Linked DNA regions of Sus scrofa. The protein of the gene in region 2 purifies or fractionates together with the protein of the main gene of each other region. This does not show direct contact. Links are inferred from orthologs where the notes say so. Each region holds a gene or a part of one and is shown on either strand. Other genes may lie near its edges.

Region 1 (5,053 bases), on a different chromosome or scaffold from region 2:
CACAAGGGGAATTCCTGAAGCAAGTATTTTTAGTATAACTAAATTTATGTTTCTCTTTCACATTCTTTAGATGCCTAAAAATTACAGGTATTTAAATATTACCATTATTTTATCATATCATGAATCAAAATGTACAGTCCTATTTTCACTTCCATAGCCACTAGGAAAAAAATTACAATTAACATTAAAGAAAGTTCAAGTTGGGAAATAGGGAAAATAACACTACATTATTAATCTTTGTAAGCTAATATTCATACCAACATTGTTAAGTCAAACCACTCTCATTTTTCTTTGATAAGAAAAAGCCTTTGAGAAATTTTTTTCTACATGACAAATAATGATACTCTGCACACTGCTCACCCTTTCAAGATCCTGAAAAGTTGTACTGATTTCCAAAGTATTTATCTTATAAAAATCTCATGCAAAAAAGCTTAGTTTTATCTAATTGTGTTTGAGGCATAAGGACTCATCACAAATTTTTCATAAAAATAACAAATGCCAAGAAAATAATCATTTCTTGGAGTTCCCGTCGTGGCGCAGTGGTAAACGAATCTGACTAGGAACCATGAGGTTGTGGGTTCGATCCCTGGCCTTGCTCAGTGGGTTAAGGATCTGGCGTTGCTGTGAGCTGTGGTGTAGGTGGCAGATGCAGCTCAGATCCTGCATTGCTATGGCTCTGGCGTAGGCTGGTGGCTACAGCTCCAGTTCGACCCCTAGCCTGGGAACCTCCATATGCCATGGGAAGCGGCCCTAGAAAAGGCAAAAAAAAGAAAAGAAAAGAATCATTTCTTACCTGCATAGGTTTGGTAAGTGGATCCATTCTAACTAAATAAACTTCCAAGGTACGTTCTTTTTTCATGGGCAATGGAAGTGTCAGGTAACAAAAAGGATCAAATGTTACTGAAATCTTAGCACATTCAGGACAAACTAAAGTTGATTTAAAAAGGCCATGAAATATATCTACAATGATAGAATCATTTCTTTTTAAATGGTTTTCCCAGGCTTCTTCAGCAACTACCTATAAAGAAAACAGACACATATTACACAGAGGTATCACATTATTATATCAATGGTGACAATAATATGGTTAAATTTACCTTATCTGGCCTTCCATCAGCATCTTTTAATTGTATATATGGTTTTTTCCTAATTCTATTCAAATCCTCATGCAGTCCATCTAATAGGAAAGCTAATAGTTCTTGACAGTCCTGCTGCTGGTATCCAGAGAACTGAGGTGCAAAACGTCCTACCTGAGTCTGTAAGAAAAACAAAACCATAAAATCAGTTCCAGGGACAAGACTGATTACAAAAATATATACTTGACTTTCATTTATAGATTCCATGTTTGTGAATTCAGCTACTTGCTAAAATTTTACTTATAACTCTCAAAATCAACTTGTGGCATTTCTGCAGTCATTTACAGATATGATGATTACATATGGATAAATACATGTAAATAACTGCATACCTAAAAGCATTTTAAAAATGATAAATAGAAAAGAACAGTTGACCTGAGGAGAAAACAAGGAGAAAACACAGTACAGTTTTGTACTAAGGATTGGGAAACACTAAACACTATTAAAATTCCGTAATTTTTTTGAGTCACTGGAAAAAAAAGACAATGCTCTCATTTAGTTTCTGTGTGTAAAGAGAAGATAATCTCATAGAGATAAAAGGAATATCAATGTTCACATATATTTTCCTAGTCTTTACAGCACTGTTTTTTTGGTATTTTTAAATTATAGTTGATTTATAATGTTGTGCCAATTTCTGCTGTACAGCAAGCAAAGTGACCCAGTCATATACATACATTCTTTTTCACTTTCTTGATGTGAAAGAACAACGTCAAATAACAAGAACCTACTTGGAGTTCTCATTGCGGCTCCAGTTAAGAACCCAACTAGTGTCTGTGAGGATGCAGGTTTGATTCCTGGCTTCACTCAGTGGGTTAAGGATCCAGTCCAGGGCTGCCAATGTAGGTTGTAGACGTAGCCAGGATCTGGCATTGCTGTGGCTGTGGTGTAGGCCGGCATCTGCAGCTGATTCAACCCCTAGCCTGGGAACTTCCATATGCTGCAAATATGGCCCTAAAAAGAAAGGAGGGGAAAAAAAAAAAAAAAAAAAAAAAAAAAGAACCTATTTACACCTAATTTTAAAACAGAACATCTTGCAAACTGAAACTAACTGGAATCATGGGTAATGGTTAAGAAATGATTTGTCTAAACTAGTCTGTCCAAGGCTTAGAAAGTTAAGGAAGATAAGCACAGGAGTTTTTTGATTTGTTTTTGTTTTTTGAAGAACTAGTATAATGTTAATAAAATGCTGCCTAGTAGATGCCCTATATGAACATCATTTAAGTTGTATTAAAAAATGGCTGAAAACCACTTATTCTCCTCAAAAGTTTAAAATTTTTCATAAATCTTATCTATATAATTAAAAGTTTTTTTAACAATATAAAACTATATTTCAGTTCAATTTTATCTGAATGACAAAATAATTACTTGAAATTTTATTGATTCTAAGAAATAACCACTTCACAAGAATAATCTTAAAGGTTTAAGAATTATATTGAAAATACATTTAATATTTGTGCTTAAATGAAGAGTAGTTTCATTTCAATAATTTTCAAACTTACAATGACTCTCAAAATAAATTTAGTTCTTAGAGTTTAATGACATGCTGAAATTCAGTCTCTGCATTTGTATAAAATAAAATAACCTGTAAATGTTCACTGCTGTCTCTCTATAGTCATTCTGAACCATACCAGTGTTTCTCAACCTTTTTCCACAATTTCATTTACTATCCCCCACAACTCTTCCTGGACATTTAATCATCTATTTCAAGCCCCACTCTGAAAATCTAATACCAGATACGCCGTGTATCTATTTATGTGTCATGTCCCTTTAGGGGGTCATAAACCACTGTAACAGCTATGATTTTTTTTCCCCTTTCCCAAATATTTTGTCCTCTTGAGGGTGAGACAGGCCTTGTTGAAAATGTGTTTATGATACTTACCTTAAAGGCCCTTGGTGTAACGTAGCTAAATTTTCCAGACCACATTTGCTTGATCAATTCGGCGTAAGATTTAGCTATTTCACCTCTCATTCCTAAGGGATTGTCAAAATTCAGCTCTTCTTGATACTTATCATTCAGGAAATATTCGGTAAGTGGTGGTGTATTGCTCAAACACTGCAAAGAATAAATATATTTTCAAGTAAAAGAAACCACACATGTTAAACATGTTTAAATGAAAAAACTAACAAAGTGATTTGCCATAATACATGGAGACGAATTTACATGATGGTCTCTTGCACTAATAAGTAACTGATCCAATAAACATTCAAATGATGTACTCAACTATTTATTTCCCAAATTTTAAAATGACTTATAGTAAATGAAAATACTAATTATTCACTGCTGTAGGATCTGTATTTAATTTTAACCACAGCAAACTACCTGTTAATGGGGTGAGAAGCTCAGAATTTTCTTTCCTTCTTTCACTTGGCTGGTAGAAATTATGGATTTGCCTAATCATCCCGTCCATCTGCAAATTAGCCTAAGTAGGTAACAACTGACATGGAGTACGTGGGAGAATTGAAATTCAAGGAGGTATTTACTGCTTCCATTGTCAATTCCTTATCATGAAAGAGCAGCCTTCTAAACCTTCCTTTTGGGTCAACCATTTTTAGATGGGACAGTACAGATTAGCTGAGCCTAAGAAAACAAACTTTTGTTATACACACTCTGGCTATATTTTTACTTCTTCCAGTTCTTCTTGAATATCACAACAATCTAATTTTCCTTTCTAGCAAGACTGAAACTATAAAGAAGTTAATTCTCCAACTCTGTTCTATTTTGAATTAAATAATTTAGGATTTAAAATAAAAGATTACAGAAGTACAGTTTTTCCATAATATTTTATCTCAAGATGAAATAATTTTAAGTGGATAATACCATATAATGTGACTTCATTTTGAACCCAACATTACTTTATCAATTAGACGTCTACAGCCATTAAGGAGAATATGTAATGATTGATGCAGACATATGGTCATATAGGTAACCTTTTCGTTGGCTGCAGGAAGATATCTGTGTTGGAGACAAGTGGCAAAGTGCTTTAACTGAAGCTGGTTGCTTGCATTTAGAGTAGTAGAAACCCATTCTTACAAGATTTTGGATTTATATTAATGTAAATAAAAGTTTTTCAAAGCTTACTGACCACTCATATGGATTAAGTTAAAAAATTTTTCTAACTATGAAAGATTCAGCCTGCTGCATTGATGCTGATAACGTCGATGCTATAAGCTATGACTATATATGCGTATGTTTGGTTAAAACTCCAAAATTAAGCATATTCAGTTAAAAAATAAATTACAGTGTTACATTTTGTGGTTTCAATTTTAAATCAGTTTATGTGTACACAATACCTATTCTGGAACTTTCAATCAAAAATAATACTGTTCAAATTGTTAGTCTGGCCCTCACCTCAGGGTAAAAGGGAGAATTTTTTATAATATCATGGAACTTGTAACTTATTATTCTTAAGCTATGGAAATAATATGAATAGTTAAAAAGTGTCTGAGGTGAACTATTCAGGCTGTACAGTTATTTACAAGTAATACTCAAGAGTAAAAATTTTTATGTGAACAAAGGAAGATAGAGGTAGGCTACAGTAAAAATTTTTATGTGAACAAAGGAAGATAGAGGTAGGCTACAGTGCATGTAGGAGGTAAATGGGAAAATATTTTTTTTTTTCTACCTTTCCTCTTAATTCATTTTATATCTCAACCTTATAATCTTACAGGCCTTTTGAGTTTCATTTTCTTTCTTTTTTTGTAATGTATGTCCTTTTAATTATAAACCCCGCACTGGAGGCAGGGCTAGGCAATCTATAAGATACCATGGCTACACAGGGCACAAATGTCAACATTCAGTAGTATCACCGTATAAATGAAATCTATAGCAAACTGTCAATGAGGCAAAGTGGAGGTCAGACAGCATTACAACAATTATCAATTAGTTTTCAAATCCCAATATTTGATCAGCTCAGGGT
Region 2 (5,673 bases):
ATAACATAACCTTTTGCTTCCTGCCCTGGGGGAGTTGTCGGACACAGTTTACAAAGAAAGAGCTTAACATTCAACAAATCTCCCTCTCTCCACAAATGAATTCTAGCCCATCAAAATCAGTTTAAGTCCTAAAGTGCCCAGGAAGCCTCCCCCCAGTCACTTCAGCCTAGACTACTCACTTCCCTCTTTAAATACAGATGCCACTCTGCAGGGGTGATATTAAAAGTATTAACAACTAGCACCACTGTGGTACCAGCCAATCAGAAAGGATGTCTGACCAAATAAACACATTGTGCCCCAGTGGGAACTGCTGGTTGAACATCAGCCCTCCTATTAATAACAATACAAAACAGCAACATCAAACTCCAATACAACTTTCTCTCCTGATCTTCACAATCTCATAAATTAGTCAAAATAAGTACCATTCCCATTTTCTGCATAACTAGATGTTGGGACTAATAACCAACTGCTTCTTTCACATCACATAATTTTCCTGTGTATAAACAGAATTCTCAATAAATACTTATAAACTGTACTTACATATAACAGCATAAGTATTAAAGGAATATTCAAGATAAATGAAATTCATTTAATTGACAAGCATTTAAGAGGAACTGAATACTAAACATAGTGCTAGGTTCCAAGACCACAAAGGAAATAAAAGGTATGTTCCTTGCTCTCTGGGCACTTATATTCCAGAGTATGTAACAGTGCAAGATGATAGAAACAGACAACACTAAGCTTACTGCTATACAGTTTAGGGAAGTAGAGTTCACAAACTAAACCAGTACAGAAGTCAGCATTGAGAACTTTTCTCCTCATACTTCCAAATGAGGCAAAATGAAATATGTAGTGAAAAGACTAGAAAGCCAGGAATGGGAGGGAAAACACAGGAATGGGAAAACAGAAGGTTTGCAGTAGTGGGATGTGAGATCTCTGGGTACTAAGTGATGGCCCTAATCATAAGCCTCAAGTACTGCTCTAAGCACTGAGTACAAATGGGAAATCCTGTAAACCCTTTGAGAGGATGGCTAAGGAAGATTAGCTTGGCAGCAGCCTATAAGCGAGAGAAATACTGAAAAGCAAATGGATTTGGGGGTAGGGAAAAGAGGCAGGACTAAACTGACAGCTGAATCCAATGAGGGGAAGAAACATTCAAGAAGCATTAATGTAAAGAAGAGCTGAGTTTCAGGTATATTTTCAAAGAAAACATTATGAAAGAGCACACTCACATGGGTACATAAGCAGACATACTGGTAACTAAACTGTGCACCAATGACAAGGAACCAATTTCCCTAGAGAAATTTATGTTGGAGAGAGAAGCTGGGCAAAGAAATACAAAACTGATAACCTGGACAATGAGGGAACAACTACAAACTCTTAGAAAGGAGTTTAAAATTACAAATTTTAAAAAACATCTGAGAAGTTCCCACTTTGGCACAGTGGGTTAAGGATCCAGCATTGCTGCAGCTACAGTTCAGATTTGATCCACTGCCTGGGAACTTCGATATGCCATGGATATGATTGCAAAAGGAAAAAAAATTAAAAATAAATGAATAAAAAGACCTGAGCTTCTTCAGAATGTATGAAAGGATAAATGGAAACATCAGCGTAACCTACCAGGGCAGGCAGACCAGTTGAGATAGTCTAGACTTAAGGATGATAGCACCTGGATCAGCTTTGTCTTGTCTGCATGCCAGTGTAGTCTATTAACTCCTCCAGGGCACAGACTAAGCCATGCTCTGTACATTAATGAAGTCCAATATTGTTACTTGAATATAGGAACACTCTGTGTGCTAAGCTAGGTGGAAAAGAGTGAACTGTGTTATTCGAGTTAATTTTATGCTTGATGCATATCTATATTGATTCTCCCACCTGTCTTGACCCCCTTCTCAGGCCAATGTCAAAAATTCACTGTTTCCTCTAATGAAGGCCAGGTGTGAAAGGACTCCAAAAATGTACTAGGAGCCAGAAAAAAGCCAGCCTGTTTTTCTAATTATGAGGGCAAAATCTAAAAGTGAATAATAAAAATCAATTATTCATTAGAGGACTAAAAAAGAAAAATGGGCTTCGCCAGACAGTTAAGTGTGTATCTTAAAACGTATAGGTTTTGCAAACACTGAACCCTTGGTACAAATCCTAACTCCAGCTCTTAGTAATTGATACTTAACCCTCTCCACACCTCAGTTTTCTCATCTATAAAATGGGGCAAATGCCACTGGGCCCTGAGGGATGTGAGGATTAGATAGTACACTTTTGGTGTACCTTATGCACCTATACCACAGTAAGTCTTCTTTAGACAGCTGCTTATAGTAATATCTGGCACCCTAAGTACTGAGTTTTTTTGTTTCAAAAGCATTTGCTGTTCAGTTACAGAAAGAGAAACTTATTTTAGTTGCTTATACTAAGGCTCTATATTTCAGTTTCTAGTATTATAGTTGGGATGCTAACAAAGTTTTTCACTCCTCCCTCCACGGGGTAGATGATGACCATATACCCTTTCCCAATTTATATTTTGGAAAATGCAGCAAACATTCTCCCTTGAAAACCAGCTATACAGACAACTGATGAAAACTACCGTCACTCAAGAAATGCAACATCTCTAGAGATGTCCTTCGAGGAAATAAAACGTGTGATCAACTCAGTCATTTCCATTCAAACATTCCAAACCCCGCAGAGTGAGCAAACGTTCAAGTTTCTACTACGAAACAATTTGTAGCCTTCTGGTTAGTGGATTCACTTCAACACTTCCCCAGACGCACGAAAAGAAGAAACATTCCGCACATCTCAGTGCCTCCTTGTCCTCAAACAAAGCTTCGCAGCACCTCCCATTCCAAAGCCACCCCTGGATGAGGAAGCAGCCCCTCTCGGCTGGGTCAGACCGGCGCCGAAGGCCAGGGAGGCCTGCTGACCCGAGGGTCTCTGCTGACTCGGGGGTCACACGTCGCGCCCTCCCACTGCTGGAGGAGGCCCTGGAGACTTGGAGCTCACACTCCGCCCTGGAAGCCCCCTCCGCCCCCAACCCCGCCCGGGCCCCCGGAGCCTGAAGCACCTAACAGCTCTGGGTGCGGTGCCCGGGACAACGCCACACAGCGACTAGCGGGGACTCGGGGCAGCCCCAGCTCTCCAAGTCCAGGAGAGCCTCGCACCCTGGGGCCCTCGGCCTGCGCCCACTCGCTTCCCAGAGGGCAGCCCCCAACCCTGGACGGCTCCGCCCGACGCTACCTCCCTCAGAGTCTGCAGCTCGGGCGGCCGCGGGCTGCCGGGCACGTCCGCCCGCGCTAGAACCCACGCCCTCGCCCCGCCTCGGCCTCCCGCCCGCGGCTCGCGTGGCGGCAGCCAGGCACTTAAAGTCCGGCCTCCGCCCGGGCGCCGCCACCTGCGCCCCCGGCCCCGCGCCATGTTTGAGAAAGAGAAGGAGCGAGCCAGAGGCCGGGCCCGGCCGGCGCGCCCCGCAGCCACCGCCAGCTCCGCCGCGCCGCCGCTCACCCGTCGCCTCCGGGACCAGCGTGGCCGTCGCCGCCAGCACGAAGAGGAGCAGCCGGGAACGCGAGCACCGGCCGCCACCTCCATGGTCCCGCCGCCACTGCCTGTGGCCCGGCCCGGCCCGGCCGCCGCCTCGCCTCAACAAGCTTCGCCTCGCCCCACCTCCCCCGCCGCCGAGGCGGCCTCGCTCCGGCCCTTTGTAACTGCTTGGGGGCCGCGCGACCATTGGCTGTCGGGCTCCCGCCGGCCCCGCCTCCCCGCCGTCTGCAAGCGGCCAAGCGGGACCTACCCAGGAGCACCGCCCACAGGCCCGCTGGGCAGCCAATCCAGAGCCGCAGGCTTCCGCTCACTGGTCACGCCCCCAAACTCCCGGGGGGCCGGGCAGCCAGACCCCTGCCCCAGCAGGAGCAGCTCCGAGTTCCGTGGAGGCCGGGTGGGGGCAGGGTCTAGCCCAGACGCTGCCGAGGCTCCCGCCTTCAAGGGCTAAGGGCTAAGAGCTAAGGGCTGAGCGATGGGTGTGTCTGGGTATGAGTTGCTTTCGGAAAAAGGCTGTGGCTGCTCGACGCTTTTTTCTCCTAGCCTCTTTTCTTCTCACCTAAGATGTGGTACTAAGCCCGACCCCAGTTCACAGCCCTGCACCATCAATTCCCCACATTCATCCAGATCCTTAGTACCATCAGGCAGGCTTCAACTTCCCCTCCCCATATCCACGTCTCAACTTTCAAAATCCCCGCCCCACGATGCTGCTTCAGTGCCTTTCGTATATTACCCAGTCTACTGTTTCCTCCCGCTGTCACATCCACCCAAAACCTAGATACCCACCCCAAAATTCTAGGCCCAGAAAGTCTCCAAATCCTGGCCTCAGACCTCAGATCCTGAGCTCAGACACACCCCCAAACTGCCTCCCGCCCCTCTCCGGAACTCAGAGCCGACCCAGACTGGGCTCCAAACCACACTCCTTTCCCCTTCCCCCTTCCTGATTCTGCGGGGCAAGGGAAGAGCCTCATCCCTATGCCCAAAGGAGAGGGATTCCTGTTCTTAGCACGCAGCACCCCCGGGGCGGAGGAGGAGCAGTCATTAGTTTGAGCTGCCTCTGACACGCCTGCACAATAATTCTGAGGTGTCACTAGAAACCCAAATAAACTCGGCTACGTTTTCATTCTGAATTCCTAATTTACTGTGAGACGCTCCACCCACCTTCCCTCTGGGACGCCAAAATGAGCTCCAGATTTGTAATTCTTCCCGTCAGACTAGTCCTCTCTTCAGACACAAACACAACCGAGAAGGCTGTTACACAGAACAGAGAACATTTTTCCACAGAACCTTTTAAGGAGAAAATTTTATTTTCTGTGTGATTTGAACTTGGAATTAAATAAACCTTGGTAGCAGGACTCAGAACCAGCCTCTAGTATTGATTTGTAATTACTCTAGCGATACTCCGTGAGTATTTTACAAGCCTGTGAAGACTTCCCTCCTGAGCAGTAAAGAGGCAGGGTAGGGGTGTTGAAGCTGAGATCTGAGACTGGCACTATTCCCATTCTGGCTTGAGCAACTCAGTTAACTCAGTTAACCTTTCTGAGCCTCCACTTCTTCATCTATACAAAATGGAAATAGTATCAATCTTCCAAAGTTAGTGAGAGGATATATTAAGATTTAGGACTCCCTCTTTTCCCCCTTCAAATTCTACTTCTAGGCCCTCTCTCTACATCCCTCACCTGCTCCTCTCCTCTGGGCAGGCAAGGGCCTGGTATTCATACACACTGAACCATCTACCCAGGGATGCAGCTGCTGCTGAAAGGAAGGTTCTAGCCTGCTCTCTGAGGCTGCCTAAAACCACCAGCAGGAAGCTTTCCACTGGCTCCCTGCAGCAGGCAGGCCAACCTAGGAGAGCCTGCTTTTGCCAGGCTCCAGCAGGGATCTACTTTTTCAGTTCCAGTTTCTTCATTGGAGTTACTTGGTAAGTCAGGGCCTTGTGACACCTGAGGCCTCTAGACTGCTTTTTTGCTGCTCTATTCTCAATATTCTTGCTTAAGATAAGAGCTCAAAAGATACTAATTGTGTGAATGAATGCATGATTTGTCTCAGACAAGTGACTGTTCTCTCATCATTAGGTTATTCATCTCTAAAATGGAAATGCAATAGTACCTGCTCTGTTTATAAATAAAAGGGATCGAATCACATGTCTTG
Region 3 (5,053 bases), on a different chromosome or scaffold from region 2:
TGCAGCGTCTGGCTGCATCTACACATATGTTCTCGGTCCCCGCCGTGAACGCCTGAGACGCTGATGAAGTCGTGACGCCCCTTCCAGGTATCCGGCCTTCCCCAGCCCGGCCCTCCCCAAAGACAAGAAGAAATGGCCCGCAGAGAGGCCCTGGGTGAGGACTGTGTCGTCAGGGGAGTTTTCAGGACGCTACGCTCTGCTCATTGATCCCGGGTCAGGTCCACCTAAGACAACAGCTACGGGTCTGGGGTCCTAAGTCACTGGCGTGCGGCGGGGATACTCTGTCTTGATGCCTCGCCACGTCTGCGCTGCCCCCAGAACGCTCCTAAAAATGGGGTGGATACGTGCACGAGCGGCTTAGCGGATTCCTTCCTTCCAACAGAACACCTCTGGTCAGCAGTCTGCGACGGAGCCCCTCTCACGTCTTCATTCTAAGCCGCTCAGTCCTGACTCCGTAAAATCACACCGCCTGGAGTCTGCAGACACCGCCTCTGCCTGTTTCATGTTCGGCGGGTCTTCCTCAAGAGCCTCTTTCTCAGCACTTGCGTGTGTGGCCACCGTTTTTATCACCTACCCTTGGGTACCATGACAACTAACTGCCCATCAGCGTGAGGGTTAAAAATGACACTAACAATTATAACCCTCCGTCTTTTTTGTACCTCGGTCACTTTAACTCCACCTTGAATGACAGACTGAAGAGCACCAGGTAACATACTTAAAAAAAACCACACGAGATGAAACGTTTCAGTACTGGACAGAGATGGGCCCCGAGGGTGGTCTGTCCTTTCAGTGTCACCATGGGTCAGTGCCTTAGAGTGTTTCCTCGGTGAGGAAGAGCTGAATGGTACGTTCTGTAAAAGTATCGCTTTATACAGATGAGAAAGTTCTTACCCACTATTTGGCCACGAACTGCATCAGTATCTGAGGGATTTAGTTTGCATAGATCCAGACGCTGGTCTGCAAACAAACAATTCAAAACTTAACCCAGGGAAAGGTACACCAGGGAGGAAGGCAGGAGTTCTGCATTTAGTACAAAAAAAAAAAAAAAGAAAGAAAGAAAGAAAGAGCGAAAGAAAAGGATGCCTCGTAAGCTTTCTTCGGTTACATCAAGAGGCAGAAAAGCGCCTGGGCCTTACATCCTGTGTCTTTCAGTCTGCTGACGGCATTGGACAGCAGCCGCACACACCCCAGGAAGCCAGCTCCCTGCTTCTTGTGAATCTTCTTGTGGTTCCACACGCTGATGGTTATGGAATCCGTTTTCCCAACGTATCTGAAAACAACACGCAAGCTCTCTGGTGACTGTATTTCTCACTTAGGACAGCCCGCTGGGGTTTTATCTGACCTGCTAGTACAGGAGAATCCTTTGAAAATAATGCTGGCTCAATAAACGTGTGTTACTAAGGCCAGTGGCTTAGGGAAAGGACTACATCCGGTTGTGGGAGACACAGGTGTAGACAACCCCACACTGAGAACAGTGATCTTGGAGACCTACTATGTTTTAACAGTTCCGAAGCTAAGGGCAGGATCCGTAAGTTCCCACCGCCTAGGCTTCACATGGAGAGCACTCGTCTGTGATGCAGGACTCCTTGCCTCCCTCCATCCACCCGAGGCCCTTCGGTCGAGCCCACACTCAGTGCAGGGCAACCAGAGACGGGCGCTTTCAGGTCGAGAATCGACAGCCACTGCCCAGGTCACTGCCAGGGCTTCGGGGTAACAGAAAGTGACACTTAGGATCCAACTAATGAAAAATCCCACTCAAACCCAGTTTAGGTTGTGTAATAAAAAAACCAATAATCACTTAATGTAACTTTAACAAAAGTTTCTGAGCAGGGATGTGAACACAGGTGCCTATAAAACAGTGATTTTCAAAGCGCATCCATTTAATGACAGAACGCAATGTGGGCTTAGGACATTCAGTCATATCAAACTATTTTCTCTTGCAGAAACTATATTTGTACTAAAAGCAGGATTTTAGAAAATGGACAGAAAAGACATAGTCACGTCATAACGACATACAATAACAGTGTATTTTAAGCAGTGTATTTGAAAACCATGTTCAGGGTTTTACTGAAAAGCAGGAGCACAGAGAAGCCGTGAAAGTATGGCCCTTTTTTCCTGTGAGAAGGGCCAGGAGATTGAAAGTTCGAAGATCACAGTTATAGACACAAACCATAAACATGTCTGAAAACATCAAATCCAAGAACTTCCAGGAATATGAATTCTAAAAGCAGGCAGTGTGTATTTGTTTGCCTATCCCCATTTTTCGCAATAAGTAGTTAGTTACTGCTCTTTTTTTTTTTTTTTTTTTTTTTTTTGAATTACATGCTTCTCTTACGAGCTGGATACCTAGGTTCCCGGCGCTGCGCAAGTGGCTAAGAGGATAGTCAAACTCACAGGTCGTAGTGCTGGTTCCACTTGGGGTCCAACGTGTTTTTCACAGTGTCCGTCGAGTGGCACTGCCCAGATCCGTCCACAACGATCTTGGCAAAGGGGTCGGGGAGTCCTAAGGGGCAGAGGACAGCCACACCGGATGAGGCTAGAGATGCATCAACAGGTCACAGGCCCGCAGGTAAGGGGAGCTTCGAGATCATCTAATTTGGTAAAGAAGCTTCTTACCCTGGTATATCTATGATTCTCAAATGTAAGGTTAGTTTTGATCAGCAAGATAAGGTATTTCCCTTCAGCTTTTCTAGGAAAAGTGACCCACAATGATATCCTGCTCAGATGTTTGGAGGCTAGAAATGCAAACTATAAAAATAGGCTTCAATCCAAACTTCCATTTCTGAGGATCCTAGTTAAACAGAGGAAAAGGTGTCTCCAATTAATTCTATTCATCCTTTCTTAAAAAAATAATAATACCTAGAAATCTTGTTTACTGGCCTTGGTCTATTTTATCTACACAGAAGCAAGGATTCACCAGGTCTTAATTAGGTAAGTGCCCAAATGCTGGAGAATGAATCAGACAGGTTTAAAAGACCAGAGAGGCGGCCAGGTGAGGGTTGCACAGGCACACCTGGATGTGACCCATCACTCTGGAACTCCTGGCTACTTGAATAAAGCCTGTGAACCTCAGTTTCTCCATCTTGCGAGTGTGAATAAAACCACAGAGGAACCAAGCAGCATTCCCGCAACGATCAGAAAGCACGAGAACAACTTCGTGCCCCAGGCACCTCCTCTACACGAGGTGAATTTCTTAAGGGGAGAGTCCTTCCTTTAGAAAAGGATCTTTTTTTTTTTTTTTTTTAAGATTCCTTTAATTACAAGGCTTTTAAAGTGTGACTGAATTTATAAAATGTGACTAACAATTTTACTCCAGACTTACAGAAAAATGTCTCATCTGTATCTGAGTGAGAACACTTCACCCAGCAGAAGGCAACATACCGACGGATGGAAAGACAGAGGACACAGGGTGTGGCCAGAACAGGGAAAGAGAGAGAGTCCTTTGTGTAGGAGTTATAGATCCTGCGCCTTGGAGCTAAGGCGCCTCTAAGTCGTAACCAACGGGGAAGTGAAGGCAGGGCTTTCAGGAGAATACAACACAGTGTATTTGTTTGGTTTTAAATTTTAAATTTCAGAAATAGTTGAAGAACATTAATATTCTAAGAAAGCAAAAATGGGTGTGTACTTACGGAAGAAGTCTTTCTTTGCAAGGTTCTTGGCGCATAATACTAAAAACAAACAAAAAGTGCTAGGGTTAGAATTTATGGACTCGGTTTTCACCATAGTCAGTTGCTCTGACTGGAACTGCATCCCATCCAACACGCGTGCTGCGGCTCTAGCCCCCAGGGTGCCTGGGGTTAGATGAGGTCCCCAGGGGGACCTCCTCCTCCTGGAAAGGAGCCCACAGGGCTGCTGGCTCCCCTCTGCTCTCCGTGTCCACCAGCCAAGGAAGAGGGCCCTTAGCTCGCCAAGAGCCGCCTCTGCCGGCACCTTGGTCTCAGGCTTTTCCAGCCTCCAGAACCACAAGAAATAAATGCTGGTTGTTTCCGCCGCCAGTCTATGGTCTTTTGTTAGAGCAACCCATACTGACTGAGGCACTACTCTATATTTGCAAAGGAAAAAAACAAAAACAAAAAACCAAACAAACCTCAAGATTATCTTTGCCATTGATTCTTTGAAATTTAGGGTTACGGTAAACAAAACACTGTCAAGTAACGAGTAAGAGCTTTCTCCTCCAATAATTAGAATCAACAACAGCACATCAAATTATGTTTTAAACTTAAAATCTTCATAGCACAGGGAACTATAGACAATCTCCTGAGACAGACCATGATAAAAAATAGTAGTTTTAAAAAAGAGCATATATATGTATGGCTGAGTCACTTTGCTGCATGGCAGAAATGAGCAAAATGTAAATAACTATACTTTAACAAAAAATATTTTTTAAAAAAAACCTTGGAGTTCCCGTCGGGACACAGTGGTTAACGAATCCGACTAGGAACCATGAGGTTGCAAGTTCGATCCCTGGCCTTGCTCAGCGGATTAAGGATCCGGTGTTGCCGTGAGCTGTGGTGTAGGCTGGAGGCTACAGCTCTGATTTGACCCCTAGCCTGGGAGCCTCCATATGCTGCAGGAGTGGCCCTAGAAAAAGGCAAAAAGACAAAAAAAAAAAAGATCTTGTGAACCCCCTCCCCAAAAAACTTAAAATCTTAGTTAAATGCATACAGCTACATCTAGCAATGTGCTCTTCTATCTACAAAGGAGCACATTAAAACCAACTCAAATGAAGACCTATGCGATTTACCTTCACAGCTACTGCTAACAACAAAAGGGAGCGCACATTTTTGATATTCTGATAAATAATACAGTTTTGTGAATGTCACCTGTGGTATGCTGGAGAATAGAAAGGAGAGAGTGACAGAAAATATACGGGGCCATCATCAAGTGTTGTGACAAACAAATGACAAAACGCATGTTAAGAATTTAGCACATGCTGGCATGCAGAAAGAATGCAATACATGCAATTGTTATTTTATTAATAAGGCGGCATTGATTACTGATAGGAAATTTTGTCATCGGATCTGTTACTCTATCAAGGGAAAATGCACCAATA
Region 4 (5,053 bases), on a different chromosome or scaffold from region 2:
TTTCGCACATCAGCAACCCTATTACATATTATAAAGCATTCAACAAGAGTTAGCAGCTGTTATTAATTTGTTGTTTTCATATTATTTTTATTACCTTCTCATACAAGTACATGTTATACAGCCACTGAAGTGATGTTGTGGGATAATAGTTAATGACATATAAAGATGGTATTTGTAATATATTAAGTGAAAAGAAGATTATAAAATAGTATGATGCAGTTTTGGTAAACACGTATATGTGTAAACATTGAAAGGTTCTACACTACATATTGATGGAGCTTATCTCTGAGTGTTGGTCTCTGGGTTTTTTTAAATTTTTTATTTTATATTGGAGTATAGTTGGTTTACAATGTTGTATTTTATTTTATTATTTATTTATTTTTTTTGTCTTTTTGCCTTTTTCTTGGGCCACTTCCTATGGCATATGGTGATTCCCAGGCTGGGGGTGGAATTGGAGCTGTAGCCACCGGCCTACTCCAGAGCCACAGCAATGCTGGATCCAAGCCGTGTCTGCGACCCACACCACAGCTCATGACAACGCTGCATCCTTAACCCACTGAGCAAGGGCAGGGATCGAACCCGCAACCTCATAGTTCCCAGTCGGATTCGTTAACCGCTGCGCCACGACGGGAACTCCTACAATGTTGTATTTTAGATGTACAGCAAAGTGATTCAGTTATACACATATATAGATATATATATATATACGTAGACTGGTTTTTAGGTTTTTGTTTTGTTTTTTTTGTTTTTTTGCTTGTCTGTTTTCTAAATATTTGTAGTGAACAGTATTGCTCTTTAAAAAGAGAAAGTTTTTTTTAAGATTAAAAAAAAGTGAGGCTTAAAGATAGAGGGTAGGGAGTTCCCATTGTGGCTCAGCAGTAACAAACCAGACTAGGATTCATGAGGATGTGGGTTCAACTCCTGGCCTCACTTGGTGGGTTAAGGATCTGGCGTTGCCTTGAGCTGTGGTGTAGGTTGTAAACGTCGCTCAGAACCCGCATTGCTTTGGCTGTGGTGTAGGCTGGCACGTGCAGTTCTGATTTGACCCCTAGCCTGGGAATTTCCATATACTGCAGATGAGGCCCTAAAAAAAAAAAAAAGAAAAGGTAGAGAAGTAAAAGAGTTTAAAATACATATATCCAGGAGTTCCCGTCGTGGTGCACTGGTTAATGAATCCAACTAGGAACCATGAGGTTGCGGGTTCGATCCCTGCCCTTGCTTAGTGGGTTAACGATCTGGCGTTGCCGTGAGCTGTGGCGTAGGTTGCAGACGCGGCTCGGATCCAGCGTGTGTGGCTCGAGTGTAGACCTGCGGCTGCAGCTCCAATTCAACCCCTAGCCTGGGAACCTCCATATGCCGCAGGAGCAGCCCTAGAAAAGGCAAAAAGACAAAAAATAAAATAAAATACATATATCCAATTAATAATACATGATGAAAAACCAAATCTATTCAAACATAATAGGCATGTTAGATTCATTGCAGGGTATTCTTTATAAAGGGAAGATATTTAGATAAAAGTTCTGCTTGGGGACCCCATTACTGTCAACGTAGTAATAATAGCTCATGTTTGTTGAGCATTTACTGTATGCCAGGTCCAGTGCCTTGAGCTTCATCATCTCATTTTACTCATCAGAGACTTTTTAGATACCATGATTACCCTCATTTTTCCAGATAAGGAAAATTAGTCCTACAAGGGGGTAACTTGCCCACATATGTATAGTTAGGAACTGGCAGAATCAGAACTCCAAGTTAGGTGTGAAATCTGTGTTCTTAAATCTGTGATGTTTTGGGAGTTCCCGTCGTGGTGCAGTGGTTAACGAATCCAACTAGGAACCATGAGGCTGTAGGTTCAATCCCCGGTCTCACTCCATGGGATAAGGACCTGGCATTGGCGTGAGCTGTGGTGTAGGTCGCAGACATGGCTTGGATCCTGTGTTGCTGTGGCTGTGGTGTAGGCCAGCAGCTGTAGCTTCAAGTTGACCCCTAGCCTGGGAACCTCCATATGCACGGGTGCAGCCCTAAAAAGCTAAATAAATACATAAAATTTTAAAATAAAATTTAAAAAAACATTAAAAAAAAATCTGTGATGTTTTGAAGTTCAGTTTCTGATTCGGTCAAGGGAAGAGGAAGGTATGGGATTGAAAGCTTTTTTCCCCATGACAGAGCCAGGATTGTAAAGGACTCAGGAGATGTGAGGAAGGGAAGAGAATAGGATCTGCAGGTGATTTAATGAAATGCAAAGGGCAGTAGTTTGAACCTTAATTTCTAAAGAAAAACTCTACAAAGTGATGCCCTGTGAGAGAGGCCTTGACACTGCTATAGTATTTTATAGCAATGGGTGGAGTATCTTATGCATGCCCTGTAGAAACTCTCCCTAATGATTGTTGGTTTTGATATTTAAATAGTTGTAAATAAGAGTCTAAGTTGATACTTCTTATTTTTCAAATTGCTGTTGCTTAAATACTTAATTTTTATTAAAATTCCCTTGATAGTGTTTACTTGAATATTTATATATAAATTCTTTTCAATTTCAGGAACATTTATCATATTTCCACTTTGTTGGACGAATAATGGGAATGGCTGTGTTTCATGGACATTATATTGATGGTGGTTTCACGTTGCCTTTTTATAAACAGTTGCTTGGAAAGTCCATTACTTTGGATGACATGGAGTTAGTTGATCCAGATCTTCATAACAGTTTAGTGTGGATACTGTATGTATTGAGTCTTGTGTTCATTGTAGTTAGAATATGAGCTTTTAAAAAACATACATGTTTCCTGGCTGGCTCAGGGTTAAGGGTTAAGGATCCAGCATTGTCCTACTGTGGCTCAGGTTGCCCTGTGATGTGGGTTTGATCCCTGGCCCAGCATGCTGAGGGCATGGCCAAAAAAAAAAAAAAAAAAAAGATACACATTTCAAAATGGATATGCTTTTTTTAAATTTAAAAAATGATGCACAGAAAATGTTAAGGGTGATTATCTGAGTGATAGGACCACGTAAGACTTTGACTCTTTGTGCTGCTTTTATGTATATTTCAAATTCCTAAAAGTTAGCAAGTGTTACTACTATAAAAGGGAAAAATCTAGTATATTCTGTTTTTAAAAGAACTTACATATAACAATTTCCTCAACATGATGCAAGTTCTGTTTCCATTTTGCGTGTGTTAGAATAACAAATTTCTGCTGAAGTGGTGATTGTTGAAACCATACTTTAAAAAGGATGTTTGTAAGAATCGGTTCTGTTTTTTGGGAGATCTTTTGTTTATGAAGCTATATTGGCCATACTTATTTTTACCGAGTACACAAGTAGCTTTCTCAGTGGGGTTACTCAGGCATTTGGTCACTCGGGTTACGTAGATTCAGGCAGAGCTTCTTACCTGAAAGCCAAACATAGCTGAGGTTTCCCCGTGTAAAGCCCAGCTTTCCAGGGCTTTCTCTTTGCTCTGGAAGTAAAACGTTCCCTGTGTTTATGAAGTTAAAGCTCTTTTGACTTTTCTGCCTAAGAACTAGGCGATACGGTGGCGTATTAACTAGTAAAAGGAATCTGACCCTATATTTGTCATGTCATAAAACTACCTTATTTTTTTGTCTCACCAATTAATACATCTGTAAACTCTATATTTTAGATTTTCCAAGGAAGTGTCTTTCTTTTTTTTTCCTTTCTAGTGAGAATGATATTACAGGTGTATTGGACCATACCTTCTGTGTGGAACATAATGCCTATGGTGAAATTATTCAGCATGAACTTAAGCCAAATGGCAAGAGTATCCCTGTCACTGAAGAAAATAAAAAAGAATATGTCAGGTAAACACTTTTATGTTCTTAAGCCAGAGGACTGTTTTAATGTTCTAGAATGGCAATACAGAAAAACATTTATGTATTTAGGCAGTGTTATAAAATAGAATGCTGCAGAATTTAGTGGCATAGAAATAACCACCATGTATTTATTTCCCACAATCCCGTGGGTCCGTAGTTTGGGTGGAGGACATAGCGATAGCACGCTGCTCCTCCACGGGATGTCTGTCACCTGGGGCCACGATGGTAAGAATGCCTCTCCCCTCACATAACTGATGCCTCACCTGGACGGCTGGGGGCTGGACAGGATGGACCCTTCGTCACCATCTGCGGCTTCCTTCTCACCGTTGGCTGGCTTCCTTGGTTATCCCCGGGTGCTGTCAGAGGCCTCTCACGCTCTCCTGGCCTCTTTCTCTGGAAACATAGCCAGACTTCTGATGGGGTGGCTGGTTTCTCAGAGAACAAAAGCAGAAGTTGTCAGATCTTTTTAAGGCCCAAGCCTGGAACTCCGCTGTATTCTCTTGGTTAAAGGCAGTCACAGGCCAGCCCAGGTTTGGTGTGGAGGAGGGACTGCCCAGAGGCACGAATACCAAAGACTCATTACTAGCACTTGGCCTATTTATACATAAGCATATTGTGAGTTTACATAAGAAATATATGTTTATATGTATTTCTTAAAAAGGCCAGAAAATGTTCTTGGTTTTACAAAATCACCTGTTGATGGGAGAGTTTAGAAGTGTTTAGTTAGATCATTTGGTTCATGGTATCTAAAGTTCTTCTAAATATTAAACTATGATGATCAGCTTTAAGAGGTAGAACTTGCCGTATGTACCAGAAACATGCATGTTATACTTTTTTGTACAGAATATGTCCCCAAGTCTTATTGGCTAAAATTTTCTAGTTTACATATGAGGCCCGTCAGTCTCATGGACTGTGACTAATTGGTACAGCTTTTTGGGAAAACAATTTGATACCACTTAGCAAAATGAAAACACATATGCCTTTTAACTAACAGCACCATTTTTAGGAATCTGTTCTTTGGAAACACATAAGTTGTTATTATTATTATTAGTCTTTTTGCCTTTTCTAGGGCTGCGCCCACAGCATATGGAGGTTCCCAGGCTAGGGGTCTAATCAGAGCTAGAGCCGTCCGCCTACACCACAGCCACAGCAACGCAGGATCGAGCCACATCTGCGACCTACACCACAGCTCACGGCAACGCCAGATCCTTAACCCACTGAGCTAGGCCAGGGACTAA

Evidence for each region. Proteins that work in one complex are often made in the same cells at the same time.
Region 1: the proteins of TGFBR1 (region 2) and USP15 purify together in Homo sapiens (affinity purification with western blotting; 4 studies listed by BioGRID). This does not show direct contact. The link is inferred for Sus scrofa from reciprocal best matches to the Homo sapiens genes TGFBR1 and USP15.
Region 3: the proteins of TGFBR1 (region 2) and SMURF1 purify together in Homo sapiens (affinity purification with western blotting; 3 studies listed by BioGRID). This does not show direct contact. The link is inferred for Sus scrofa from reciprocal best matches to the Homo sapiens genes TGFBR1 and SMURF1.
Region 4: the proteins of TGFBR1 (region 2) and SMURF2 purify together in Homo sapiens (affinity purification with western blotting; 8 studies listed by BioGRID). This does not show direct contact. The link is inferred for Sus scrofa from reciprocal best matches to the Homo sapiens genes TGFBR1 and SMURF2.

Annotation. Positions count from the first base shown.
Region 1 is NC_010447.5:27,057,908-27,062,960, reverse strand, and holds part of USP15 (ubiquitin carboxyl-terminal hydrolase 15), read right to left. Parts: intron 3,190-5,053; coding exon 3,016-3,189; intron 1,257-3,015; coding exon 1,098-1,256; intron 1,019-1,097; coding exon 794-1,018; intron 1-793. UniProt on the Homo sapiens protein: Hydrolase that removes conjugated ubiquitin from target proteins and regulates various pathways such as the TGF-beta receptor signaling, NF-kappa-B and RNF41/NRDP1-PRKN pathways.
Region 2 is NC_010443.5:240,858,140-240,863,812, reverse strand, and holds the start of TGFBR1 (TGF-beta receptor type-1), read right to left. Parts: upstream 3,728-5,673; 5' UTR 3,713-3,727; coding exon 3,490-3,712; intron 1-3,489. UniProt on the Homo sapiens protein: Transmembrane serine/threonine kinase forming with the TGF-beta type II serine/threonine kinase receptor, TGFBR2, the non-promiscuous receptor for the TGF-beta cytokines TGFB1, TGFB2 and TGFB3.
Region 3 is NC_010445.4:6,056,932-6,061,984, forward strand, and holds part of SMURF1 (E3 ubiquitin-protein ligase SMURF1), read right to left. Parts: intron 3,669-5,053; coding exon 3,630-3,668; intron 2,504-3,629; coding exon 2,395-2,503; intron 1,271-2,394; coding exon 1,137-1,270; intron 958-1,136; coding exon 892-957; intron 1-891. UniProt on the Homo sapiens protein: E3 ubiquitin-protein ligase that acts as a negative regulator of BMP signaling pathway. Mediates ubiquitination and degradation of SMAD1 and SMAD5, 2 receptor-regulated SMADs specific for the BMP pathway.
Region 4 is NC_010454.4:14,476,077-14,481,129, forward strand, and holds part of SMURF2 (E3 ubiquitin-protein ligase SMURF2), read left to right. Parts: intron 1-2,534; coding exon 2,535-2,713; intron 2,714-3,665; coding exon 3,666-3,803; intron 3,804-5,053. UniProt on the Homo sapiens protein: E3 ubiquitin-protein ligase which accepts ubiquitin from an E2 ubiquitin-conjugating enzyme in the form of a thioester and then directly transfers the ubiquitin to targeted substrates.